Saccharomyces cerevisiae S288C: one gene and its partners. The protein of the gene in region 1 purifies or fractionates together with the protein of each later gene. This does not show direct contact. Each region holds a gene or a part of one and is shown on either strand. Other genes may lie near its edges.

The links.
Region 2: the proteins of DDI1 (region 1) and HO purify together in Saccharomyces cerevisiae (affinity purification with western blotting, with the first as the bait; 3 studies listed by BioGRID). This does not show direct contact.
Region 3: the proteins of DDI1 (region 1) and SNC1 purify together in Saccharomyces cerevisiae (affinity purification with western blotting; 2 studies listed by BioGRID). This does not show direct contact.

What each region holds. Positions count from the first base shown.
Region 1 is NC_001137.3:453,833-458,772, forward strand, and holds DDI1 (Ddi1p), read left to right. Parts: upstream 1-2,486; coding exon 2,487-3,773; downstream 3,774-4,940. Other genes in the region: COX15 (Cox15p), read left to right, coding at 1-1,087; MAG1 (DNA-3-methyladenine glycosylase II), read right to left, coding at 1,314-2,204; putative ubiquitin-specific protease UBP5, read right to left, coding at 3,974-4,940. UniProt on the Saccharomyces cerevisiae protein: Aspartic protease. Appears to act as negative regulator of constitutive exocytosis. May act at the level of secretory vesicle docking and fusion as a competitive inhibitor of SNARE assembly.
Region 2 is NC_001136.10:45,771-49,670, reverse strand, and holds HO (Hop), read left to right. Parts: upstream 1-1,639; coding exon 1,640-3,400; downstream 3,401-3,900. Other genes in the region: Hsp70 family ATPase SSB1, read right to left, coding at 3,765-3,900. UniProt on the Saccharomyces cerevisiae protein: Initiation of mating type interconversion. This protein is a site-specific endonuclease that cleaves a site in the mat locus on chromosome III.
Region 3 is NC_001133.9:85,342-88,252, forward strand, and holds SNC1 (SNAP receptor SNC1), read left to right. Parts: upstream 1-1,944; coding exon 1,945-2,046; intron 2,047-2,159; coding exon 2,160-2,411; downstream 2,412-2,911. Other genes in the region: protein phosphatase regulator GIP4, read right to left, coding at 1-1,690; MYO4 (myosin 4), read right to left, coding at 2,514-2,911. UniProt on the Saccharomyces cerevisiae protein: SNC1 and SNC2 are vesicle-targeting proteins essential for normal secretory traffic between the Golgi and the plasma membrane. They may also be involved in vesicle fusion.

The sequences.
Region 1 (4,940 bases):
TTTGCCCCCTATGAACCAGAAGGAATGGGAAGAAGAATTTATCAAGTATAAGGAATCACCAGAATTTAAATTGTTGAATTCTCACATTGATTTAGACGAGTTCAAGTTTATATTTTTTATGGAGTGGATTCATAGATTGTGGGGTCGTGCTATCGGCGCTGTTTTTATATTACCTGCAGTTTATTTCGCTGTATCTAAAAAAACTTCAGGCCATGTCAATAAGAGGTTGTTTGGTCTCGCAGGTTTATTAGGATTACAAGGATTTGTTGGTTGGTGGATGGTGAAGTCTGGTCTTGATCAAGAGCAACTAGACGCAAGAAAATCAAAGCCTACCGTTTCTCAATATAGACTTACTACGCATTTGGGTACCGCCTTCTTTTTATACATGGGTATGCTCTGGACTGGTTTGGAAATATTGAGAGAATGTAAATGGATTAAGAACCCTGTTCAAGCCATTAGTCTCTTCAAAAAATTAGATAATCCCGCAATTGGCCCAATGAGAAAGATTTCTTTAGCTTTGTTAGCGGTGTCTTTCCTTACCGCTATGAGTGGCGGTATGGTTGCCGGTTTGGATGCTGGTTGGGTCTATAACACCTGGCCAAAAATGGGTGAACGATGGTTCCCTAGTTCTCGTGAATTAATGGACGAAAACTTCTGTAGAAGAGAGGACAAGAAAGATCTGTGGTGGAGGAATTTGCTAGAAAACCCGGTTACAGTTCAGTTGGTCCATAGGACATGTGCGTACGTTGCGTTTACATCAGTACTAGCTGCTCATATGTACGCTATCAAAAAGAAGGCCGTAATTCCAAGGAACGCGATGACCTCTTTGCATGTTATGATGGGCGTCGTTACTTTACAAGCAACACTTGGTATTTTAACTATATTGTACCTAGTCCCAATATCGTTAGCTTCTATCCATCAAGCTGGTGCTTTGGCGTTGCTAACAAGTTCTTTGGTGTTTGCCTCTCAATTAAGGAAGCCAAGAGCTCCGATGAGAAACGTAATCATTACCTTGCCACATTCAAGCAAAGTAACTAGCGGTAAAATTTTAAGTGAAGCGTCGAAGTTAGCCTCGAAACCATTATAATGGATAAAGGTATTCTTATGAGAATTGACAGTATACTCGCTTTTCCGCTTTGTCGCTCCAATGGTTGGATTGTATGTGTGAGGCTTTTTCTTATTATATGTTGGTATCCCTACGAGAAGCTGTAAATATGAATTTCTTTAGTAGGCATCACACACAACAATAGGGTGTATTTATTTTTATTTTTTTTTTTCTTATATAAATGTCAGTAATACATGATATCTTTAAGTTAGGATTTCACGAAATTTTCTTCTGCCTTCATCATGGCATCTGTATTTGTGCTCGCGAGCCTCCAAAGTATGAACATAAACACAGACCTATACGGAGAAAATGTTTCAGAGCATTTTTCCATTATGTCGTCGTCATATATTTTCCAGTTGTATTTCTTATGCTTAATCTTACTCTTTTTAACTACTTTTCTTTCACGCATTAATTCTTTTTCCAATTCTGGCTTATCTGAAAGGTATTTTGAAAAACCCCTAGCAATACCTAGATCTTCAGGAGCAAATACATCCATTCTTTTCAATCCGGAGATCAAGAACATTTTGGCACTCCATGGGCCTATACCTTTTACATTCGTAACTAAACTTTCAATCACTTCCTCATCATTATCTTTTTGACCGAAGAGCTTTTCGATATCCTTATATTTTTCAGTAAAATAGACAGCAAGAGACTCTAGATATATCATTTTCCTTTTACTCAATCCACATTTTGCGATTTCTGCACATTTTGCTGGGTCTTTGAAGTCTTCGAAAAGGATTTTGTAATCAGGAAATGCACCGCCATAAAGACTGACAACCCTTGCCTTGATGCTTTCAGCTGCTTGGCCACTGATCTGTTGAGACAAAATTGTGCTTGCAAGCCTAATAAAATAATCTTCGAGTGTATTAGGGACTTGAGTCTCCTTCAAGTACAACGTAAATTCATTATTCTTAAGTATGGGAAAAAGTGATGGATCTTTCTCTAAAATGTGTTCGCAAGCCATATTGAACTTTTCTTCATGTCTAGCAATATATTTCTCAGGAAGAGCAACCTCTAGAGGTCGAGACCCTAATTCTTTTGCTATTTCCTTAACAGCGTCTGCTTTTATTAACTCATCATACTCCCTTTTTAGTTTCATTGAGACCAATCCCTCTCTAGCTTCTCTTGATTCTCAGTAAAAAATTAAAAAGGAAAAGTACCACTTCCATCGTCATATCAGAGGGCAGTGGCCAATTCTCATTGATTCATAGATAACTTAAACTTTATGTAAGAATTCCCGTCGCCACCCCGCCCTGTAAATTCATCGCCACCGAAAAGATAATAATACCAAAATGATATATAAAGTAGGTCGAATAAGAAAGTATACTTAACGTAGTTAACAAAGTACATACCAAACATAACAGCAAAAATATACGTAAAGATGGATTTAACAATTTCAAACGAACTTACTGGCGAGATATACGGCCCAATTGAAGTCAGTGAAGATATGGCTTTAACTGATCTAATAGCATTACTGCAGGCCGATTGCGGGTTTGACAAAACAAAACACGACTTATATTACAATATGGACATTCTAGACTCAAACAGAACTCAGTCTTTAAAAGAACTAGGGCTCAAAACCGATGACTTATTATTGATTAGGGGTAAGATTTCCAATTCCATTCAAACAGATGCTGCTACTTTGTCCGACGAAGCGTTCATAGAGCAATTTAGACAAGAGCTACTTAATAATCAAATGCTTAGATCACAACTCATTTTGCAAATCCCTGGATTGAATGATTTAGTAAATGACCCACTGTTGTTTAGGGAAAGATTGGGCCCGCTCATATTACAAAGACGTTATGGTGGCTATAACACCGCCATGAATCCTTTTGGCATCCCCCAAGATGAATATACTAGACTAATGGCCAACCCCGATGATCCTGACAACAAGAAGAGGATTGCAGAGCTTTTAGACCAACAAGCTATCGATGAACAGTTGCGCAATGCTATCGAATATACACCTGAAATGTTTACCCAGGTCCCTATGCTTTACATTAATATCGAAATAAATAACTACCCCGTAAAGGCATTTGTAGATACAGGGGCTCAAACAACGATTATGTCCACCAGGTTAGCGAAGAAAACTGGCCTGTCGAGAATGATTGACAAGAGATTTATTGGAGAAGCTCGTGGCGTAGGAACCGGCAAAATTATTGGGAGAATTCACCAAGCCCAAGTCAAAATAGAAACACAATATATTCCATGCAGTTTTACCGTCTTAGATACTGACATCGATGTTTTGATAGGACTAGACATGCTGAAAAGGCATTTGGCTTGTGTGGACTTAAAGGAAAACGTTCTTAGGATAGCAGAAGTGGAGACAAGCTTTTTGAGTGAAGCGGAAATCCCAAAAAGTTTTCAAGAAGGACTTCCAGCACCAACGTCAGTTACAACTTCGTCTGATAAGCCCCTAACACCCACCAAGACTAGTTCAACTCTACCACCACAACCGGGGGCTGTTCCTGCGCTTGCTCCAAGGACTGGTATGGGGCCAACACCTACGGGAAGAAGTACAGCCGGTGCTACAACGGCAACCGGGAGAACGTTTCCCGAACAAACGATTAAACAGCTTATGGATCTAGGTTTCCCTAGGGATGCTGTGGTAAAGGCTCTTAAACAGACTAACGGAAATGCAGAATTTGCTGCATCCCTCCTTTTCCAATGAGCAACCACTGATATTGTGATCGGCCTCTACGTATGTAGCCCATAACACAAATAGATAAGTATAAGGATGTACATACTTTCATTGTTTCGTCAATTGTTGTTTGTATTGTATATGATTGTACTTCTGTTAAGTATATAATATGCAGATTGTATTTGTGCCTCAATGTGCGCCATTCATGTGTTGCAAACCGGTAATTTGATTCAAAAAATTCTTTCGTAAAATAAAACATATGCACTGGGTGTGATAAATTCAGTACTAAACGTTATAGGACGATAAAGCGAGTCATCGAAAAAATACCAACCTTTTTTTGGTCCCTTATAAACGTATGAAGTATAGTGTCCCCCATACAAACTCCCCGAATGACATGCAACCCCATACAGTCTGTATCTAAATGGTGGTACTTGGCCCCTGGTAGGAATGTCCTCATTAACAATAGCTTCATGATTAAAATCTCTCGCCCAATATGGTGTAAGATCTAAGGAGTAAGGATATTGGACAAACACATTATTCTTATTCATTTGATTGTCAAATCGTTTCAAATTAATAATTAGTTTCTTAGGCAATCTAGTAATCTTCAGTTGTTTAGTGGAAGGCTGCTTTTTTAAGCATTTAGGACATGACCATTGTTCATCGACACCTAACCTTTCGCATTTGGTGAATTCCCGGAAACAGTCTAATATGTTACAAGTTTTAACGCGTGGGACAGGAACAGAAAGAACAGAGAATGTTTGGTAAGTTGTGGAGGTATGTTCACAAACTTGACATTGTAGCCTAGATGCGTACTGTCCTTGGAAAAGGTCAATTATCGCACTGAAGTCGGTAAGCAAAAATCTTTCCCACTCGAGAGCACTAGCTTTGCGTATGGACATTTTTTCTCTCATTCGTTCTTCCTCATCTGATAACTGTTTAAGATGCTTTTTGCTGCCGTTTTGGTTCAAATCCTCGTGCAAGCCATCAAGCAAAAATTGACAAAATTCTTGACAATCTTGCTGCATTGAATCACTATACATGGGGTTGATATGGCCGCAAATTTTTTTAAACTGAATAGTCTGAACTGGTATCGTTCTTACGTTAGGAGGTGTGAATGCACCGTGTCTGTGCATATTATTGACCAAGATGGCGAAATTTTTAGCTAGCAACCCCTTAGAACCTCTTGAACTATCAAAA
Region 2 (3,900 bases), on another chromosome or scaffold:
CCGAAAAGCAATTACTCTCTATGTTAGTCATACAAACTGACTTCTGTGAGAGAATTATTTTCATATCAACGTAAGATCACATGGTTCCTTTATCAAGTACTACTATCATTCCATTATATGACCTATTTACTTCTTGAATCTTAGAGCTCATAATTCAAGCAAGTTGCGGAGCTAAGAATTTCACATGTTGTTGAACTTAACAATCTTCATTATACCCAATCGCTGCGTGCTGGAATTATGTTAAAAGTTACATCCTTTTTTTCATTTTTCCCTACGCTCAGGGCACTGTACTGCCCGTGCCTGCGATGAGATACATCAATTTAAAAAAAAAACCAGCATGCTATAATGCTGGAGCAAAAATTTCAATCAGAAATAGAAAAGACCTCAACAGTAATTAACCCAAAGGGGTATCAAATAATCGATGTGCTTTTTCACTCTACGAATGATCTGTGAGAAACTGATTTGGGCCGAATCGCGTAAAAAGTTTGATTCGTGGCGGCTAATGTCTGAGGGGCTCCAACAGGCTCGTAGAGCCTCGTTTCTTGAGGGCACAAAATGTCCAGGTAATATTCCCAAGAAAGAACCGCAGAGTGCTTTGATAAATCGGTTACAGGTCTTAACGTAGGTTTTGTCTCGCTAATTGCTATTGAGTAAGTTCGATCCGTTTGGCGTCTTTTGGGGTGTAACGCCAAACTTATTACTTTTCCTATTTGAGGTTGGTATTGATTGTTGTCAAAGAATGAAAATATACACAAACGCCACAATATACGTACCAGGTTCACGAAAACTGATCGTATGGTTCATACCCTGACTTGGCAAACCTAATGTGACCGTCGCTGATTAGCGGATCACGAAAAGTGATCTCGATACAATTAGAGGATCCACGAAAATGATGTGAATGAATACATGAAAGATTCATGAGATCTGACAACATGGTAGACGTGTGTGTCTCATGGAAATTGATGCAGTTGAAGACATGTGCGTCACGAAAAAAGAAATCAATCCTACACAGGGCTTAAGGGCAAATGTATTCATGTGTGTCACGAAAAGTGATGTAACTAAATACACGATTACCATGGAAATTAACGTACCTTTTTTGTGCGTGTATTGAAATATTATGACATATTACAGAAAGGGTTCGCAAGTCCTGTTTCTATGCCTTTCTCTTAGTAATTCACGAAATAAACCTATGGTTTACGAAATGATCCACGAAAATCATGTTATTATTTACATCAACATATCGCGAAAATTCATGTCATGTCCACATTAACATCATTGCAGAGCAACAATTCATTTTCATAGAGAAATTTGCTACTATCACCCACTAGTACTACCATTGGTACCTACTACTTTGAATTGTACTACCGCTGGGCGTTATTAGGTGTGAAACCACGAAAAGTTCACCATAACTTCGAATAAAGTCGCGGAAAAAAGTAAACAGCTATTGCTACTCAAATGAGGTTTGCAGAAGCTTGTTGAAGCATGATGAAGCGTTCTAAACGCACTATTCATCATTAAATATTTAAAGCTCATAAAATTGTATTCAATTCCTATTCTAAATGGCTTTTATTTCTATTACAACTATTAGCTCTAAATCCATATCCTCATAAGCAGCAATCAATTCTATCTATACTTTAAAATGCTTTCTGAAAACACGACTATTCTGATGGCTAACGGTGAAATTAAAGACATCGCAAACGTCACGGCTAACTCTTACGTTATGTGCGCAGATGGCTCCGCTGCCCGCGTCATAAATGTCACACAGGGCTATCAGAAAATCTATAATATACAGCAAAAAACCAAACACAGAGCTTTTGAAGGTGAACCTGGTAGGTTAGATCCCAGGCGTAGAACAGTTTATCAGCGTCTTGCATTACAATGTACTGCAGGTCATAAATTGTCAGTCAGGGTCCCTACCAAACCACTGTTGGAAAAAAGTGGTAGAAATGCCACCAAATATAAAGTGAGATGGAGAAATCTGCAGCAATGTCAGACGCTTGATGGTAGGATAATAATAATTCCAAAAAACCATCATAAGACATTCCCAATGACAGTTGAAGGTGAGTTTGCCGCAAAACGCTTCATAGAAGAAATGGAGCGCTCTAAAGGAGAATATTTCAACTTTGACATTGAAGTTAGAGATTTGGATTATCTTGATGCTCAATTGAGAATTTCTAGCTGCATAAGATTTGGTCCAGTACTCGCAGGAAATGGTGTTTTATCTAAATTTCTCACTGGACGTAGTGACCTTGTAACTCCTGCTGTAAAAAGTATGGCTTGGATGCTTGGTCTGTGGTTAGGTGACAGTACAACAAAAGAGCCAGAAATCTCAGTAGATAGCTTGGATCCTAAGCTAATGGAGAGTTTAAGAGAAAATGCGAAAATCTGGGGTCTCTACCTTACGGTTTGTGACGATCACGTTCCGCTACGTGCCAAACATGTAAGGCTTCATTATGGAGATGGTCCAGATGAAAACAGGAAGACAAGGAATTTGAGGAAAAATAATCCATTCTGGAAAGCTGTCACAATTTTAAAGTTTAAAAGGGATCTTGATGGAGAGAAGCAAATCCCTGAATTTATGTACGGCGAGCATATAGAAGTTCGTGAAGCATTCTTAGCCGGCTTGATCGACTCAGATGGGTACGTTGTGAAAAAGGGCGAAGGCCCTGAATCTTATAAAATAGCAATTCAAACTGTTTATTCATCCATTATGGACGGAATTGTCCATATTTCAAGATCTCTTGGTATGTCAGCTACTGTGACGACCAGGTCAGCTAGGGAGGAAATCATTGAAGGAAGAAAAGTCCAATGTCAATTTACATACGACTGTAATGTTGCTGGGGGAACAACTTCACAGAATGTTTTGTCATATTGTCGAAGTGGTCACAAAACAAGAGAAGTTCCGCCAATTATAAAAAGGGAACCCGTATATTTCAGCTTCACGGATGATTTCCAGGGTGAGAGTACTGTATATGGGCTTACGATAGAAGGCCATAAAAATTTCTTGCTTGGCAACAAAATAGAAGTGAAATCATGTCGAGGCTGCTGTGTGGGAGAACAGCTTAAAATATCACAAAAAAAGAATCTAAAACACTGTGTTGCTTGTCCCAGAAAGGGAATCAAGTATTTTTATAAAGATTGGAGTGGTAAAAATCGAGTATGTGCTAGATGCTATGGAAGATACAAATTCAGCGGTCATCACTGTATAAATTGCAAGTATGTACCAGAAGCACGTGAAGTGAAAAAGGCAAAAGACAAAGGCGAAAAATTGGGCATTACGCCCGAAGGTTTGCCAGTTAAAGGACCAGAGTGTATAAAATGTGGCGGAATCTTACAGTTTGATGCTGTCCGCGGGCCTCATAAGAGTTGTGGTAACAACGCAGGTGCGCGCATCTGCTAAAATGTGTATATTAGTTTAAAAAGTTGTATGTAATAAAAGTAAAATTTAATATTTTGGATGAAAAAAACCATTTTTAGACTTTTTCTTAACTAGAATGCTGGAGTAGAAATACGCCATCTCAAGATACAAAAAGCGTTACCGGCACTGATTTGTTTCAACCAGTATATAGATTATTATTGGGTCTTGATCAACTTTCCTCAGACATATCAGTAACAGTTATCAAGCTAAATATTTACGCGAAAGAAAAACAAATATTTTAATTGTGATACTTGTGAATTTTATTTTATTAAGGATACAAAGTTAAGAGAAAACAAAATTTATATACAATATAAGTAATATTCATATATATGTGATGAATGCAGTCTTAACGAGAAGACATGGCCTTGGTGACAACTCTCTTCAAACCAACTTCAGCCTTTCTCAATTCATCAGCAGATGGGTCTTCGATTTGCAAAGCAGCCAAAGCATCGGACAAAGCAGCTTCAATCTTGGACTTGGAA
Region 3 (2,911 bases), on another chromosome or scaffold:
TGAGCTTTGAAGGTGGAGCTATTGACGGATGTCTTGTAGAATTCAAATATGAGGTTTGTTGTTTGTTTGTATAGGATTGCAAAGATGAGGATCTAGGCCTTCTGCCGTTGATCAGTTTTCTTTTCTCCGGAGACACCACGCTTTTCTTCGTTTCTGCGTTTTTATTGTTGAAAGTGGTCCTTACAGGCGATACTGAGGGAGACCTAGAAGAATTTGAGGCTAAATGCGCCCTTGCCCTTGTTCTTATGCTCTCTAAAGAGGCCTGTCTTGATGGGCTTGCTGAAGATGTGGGTGAGGGGGATGGAGAAGAAGAGGCTGGCAGCTTTGTTATTGACGGCTTCTTCTTTAGCTTACTTTTCGCGTTTTTAACCTCTAAATACAGAGCCTTATCTCTTTCTAGCTTTTCTTTCAAATTCTCCCGCAAGTCATTGGTTTCATCGAAGGTTTTATAATTTTTCTCAATATATTTCCAGCAATCCATCCAATTGGATAATAATCCCATAATGGACCTCAATTTCGGTATAATCTTGCAGATATGATTATTAAACAATTCCACAACTAAACCAGGTTGAAGGTGGAAAATGGGAGTTCTTGAGGAATTGTTATCGGTACGCGCCGTTTGAGTCCAAAATTTTAAATTCTCCTGCAGTTCGAATAAAGCTGTGACATCATCACATTCTGGAGAGAGCAAAGCCATCAGCTCACAAATTATCAAATCGTAATGGTACACGTTTTCGCTGGATAATCTTGTCTTGATGTCCAAGAAATGTTGTTTATTCGGTAGGAAAATTTGCCTAGAGAAACTGATAATAACACACAAGACAGAAAAAACCCGCAAGTGGAAAGTGTATATCCTGTGTAGAGTCCATTCCCAATGTGGTAGATCCTTCTGTAAATTTGACAGTGAAGTAGGTCTTGTTTCCGAAAATTTCTGCAATTGGTTGTAATATGTCCTTAGAATGGGGAAGATTTTCGAATGAACACAGGAGTTCAGTTTCTCCATCACTTGCCATTGCAATTTGTAAAAGGAATGGGTGGACTTATCCCTTACTGGATCATTAATCAAAACGGCTAAATCTAGAATCAATGTCATTTCAACTGGATTTAACAAGTCTTCAATTATTGAAGTGTCAAATGGAAGTGACCGAGCTTTGTACGCATCCCTTTCCAATAAAATCTGTCTCAACTTGGCATTATAAATTTTTATAGCATTTTGAGCAATGCAAGACAGCGAATTTAAAATCTTCCATTGTAGAGAATTATTGTATATGCACGATTTATAGTGATCTAGGGGTACCTCCTCGGGAAACATCCAGCCCTCTACATCAATAAAATTAGTTGATAATCTCTGCTGCACTTCGCTTAGCTTTATCAGCTGGAATCGACAGAGCAAATGGTACCTCTTAGCCAATACGGGGCTTACATTAAATATAGGACCCTCACAAAGTGATAAGATGAAATTAACGAGGGGAATAATTTTGTAGGACTCGTCATTGTCTCTTTTCTTCTTCAAATGCGGTACCAGAACGTTTAGTAGCCTATTCAGTTCATTCAGCTTGTAAAGAGCGTTCTTATATTGAATGATTTTTATATCATACGAGTCCAACGGAACAGAACCTTTGATTGCCGGAATAGAAGCGCTGGCAGCAGCTTTGGCTAGCAACTTTTTTCTCTTTTGCACATCTACCATGTTGTAATATAAAACTAGTCTAAATCCTCAACCTTCAGCTTCCAATCACTCCTTTTATCATTGTTCATTCGCTAACAAACTTCAAACATATGCCTTTATTATGCGTCTTCCTGCTGTTTCAACCATTGATTGCAGGGTAACAGACATTTTTAAGGGTCTTTCCCACAGCATCTATAAGAAAGATCGTCAAAAGTATTAGTTAAACATTGAAAATTTGCGCCAAAGACATAGCAAGCGCAACGTATTCATTGTCCATGTCGTCATCTACTCCCTTTGACCCTTATGCTCTATCCGAGCACGATGAAGAACGACCCCAGAATGTACAGTCTAAGTCAAGGACTGCGGAACTACAAGCTGTAAGTACAGAAAGCCACAGAGTACCATCTAGGAAATTAACATTATACTAACTTTCTACATCGTTGATACTTATGCGTATACATTCATATACGTTCTTCGTGTTTATTTTTAGGAAATTGATGATACCGTGGGAATAATGAGAGATAACATAAATAAAGTAGCAGAAAGAGGTGAAAGATTAACGTCCATTGAAGATAAAGCCGATAACCTAGCGGTCTCAGCCCAAGGCTTTAAGAGGGGTGCCAATAGGGTCAGAAAAGCCATGTGGTACAAGGATCTAAAAATGAAGATGTGTCTGGCTTTAGTAATCATCATATTGCTTGTTGTAATCATCGTCCCCATTGCTGTTCACTTTAGTCGATAGAAGTTCACTCGCAATGCTATATATATAGGGAGCTTCCATATGTAGTGTAGGATATATGTATATATACATATATACATATATGGGCGTATATTTACTTTGTTCTTATTTTCTGTCTAATTTTATAATTTTACTGACAGTAGCTAAGCCCTCTGTATTGCTGTTCTGTGTTATTGCACTAGTGTCATAACGCAGATGGTTTTTAGCAGAGTCAAATTGGGCAGAAAGCATAATTTCCATCTTCCCTGGCAAAGACAGATTTTCTCTTTTGATCACGTTAGCTAAATAATTCAAGATTTCGTTCGGTACTCCAGCTTCGCCCTTGTTAGCAGGCTTGTATTTCAACAGAATTGCTTGTATTTGGGCTGGATTCAAGGCATACCAGAAATCGAATAGTAACTTGAACTCGTTCAAGTTGCTTATCTTCAACTGTAATATCTTGACAGCCTGAATTATTTGAATCAAATTGGGACGAACGTCTTCAATTCTTGGTTCAAACCAGC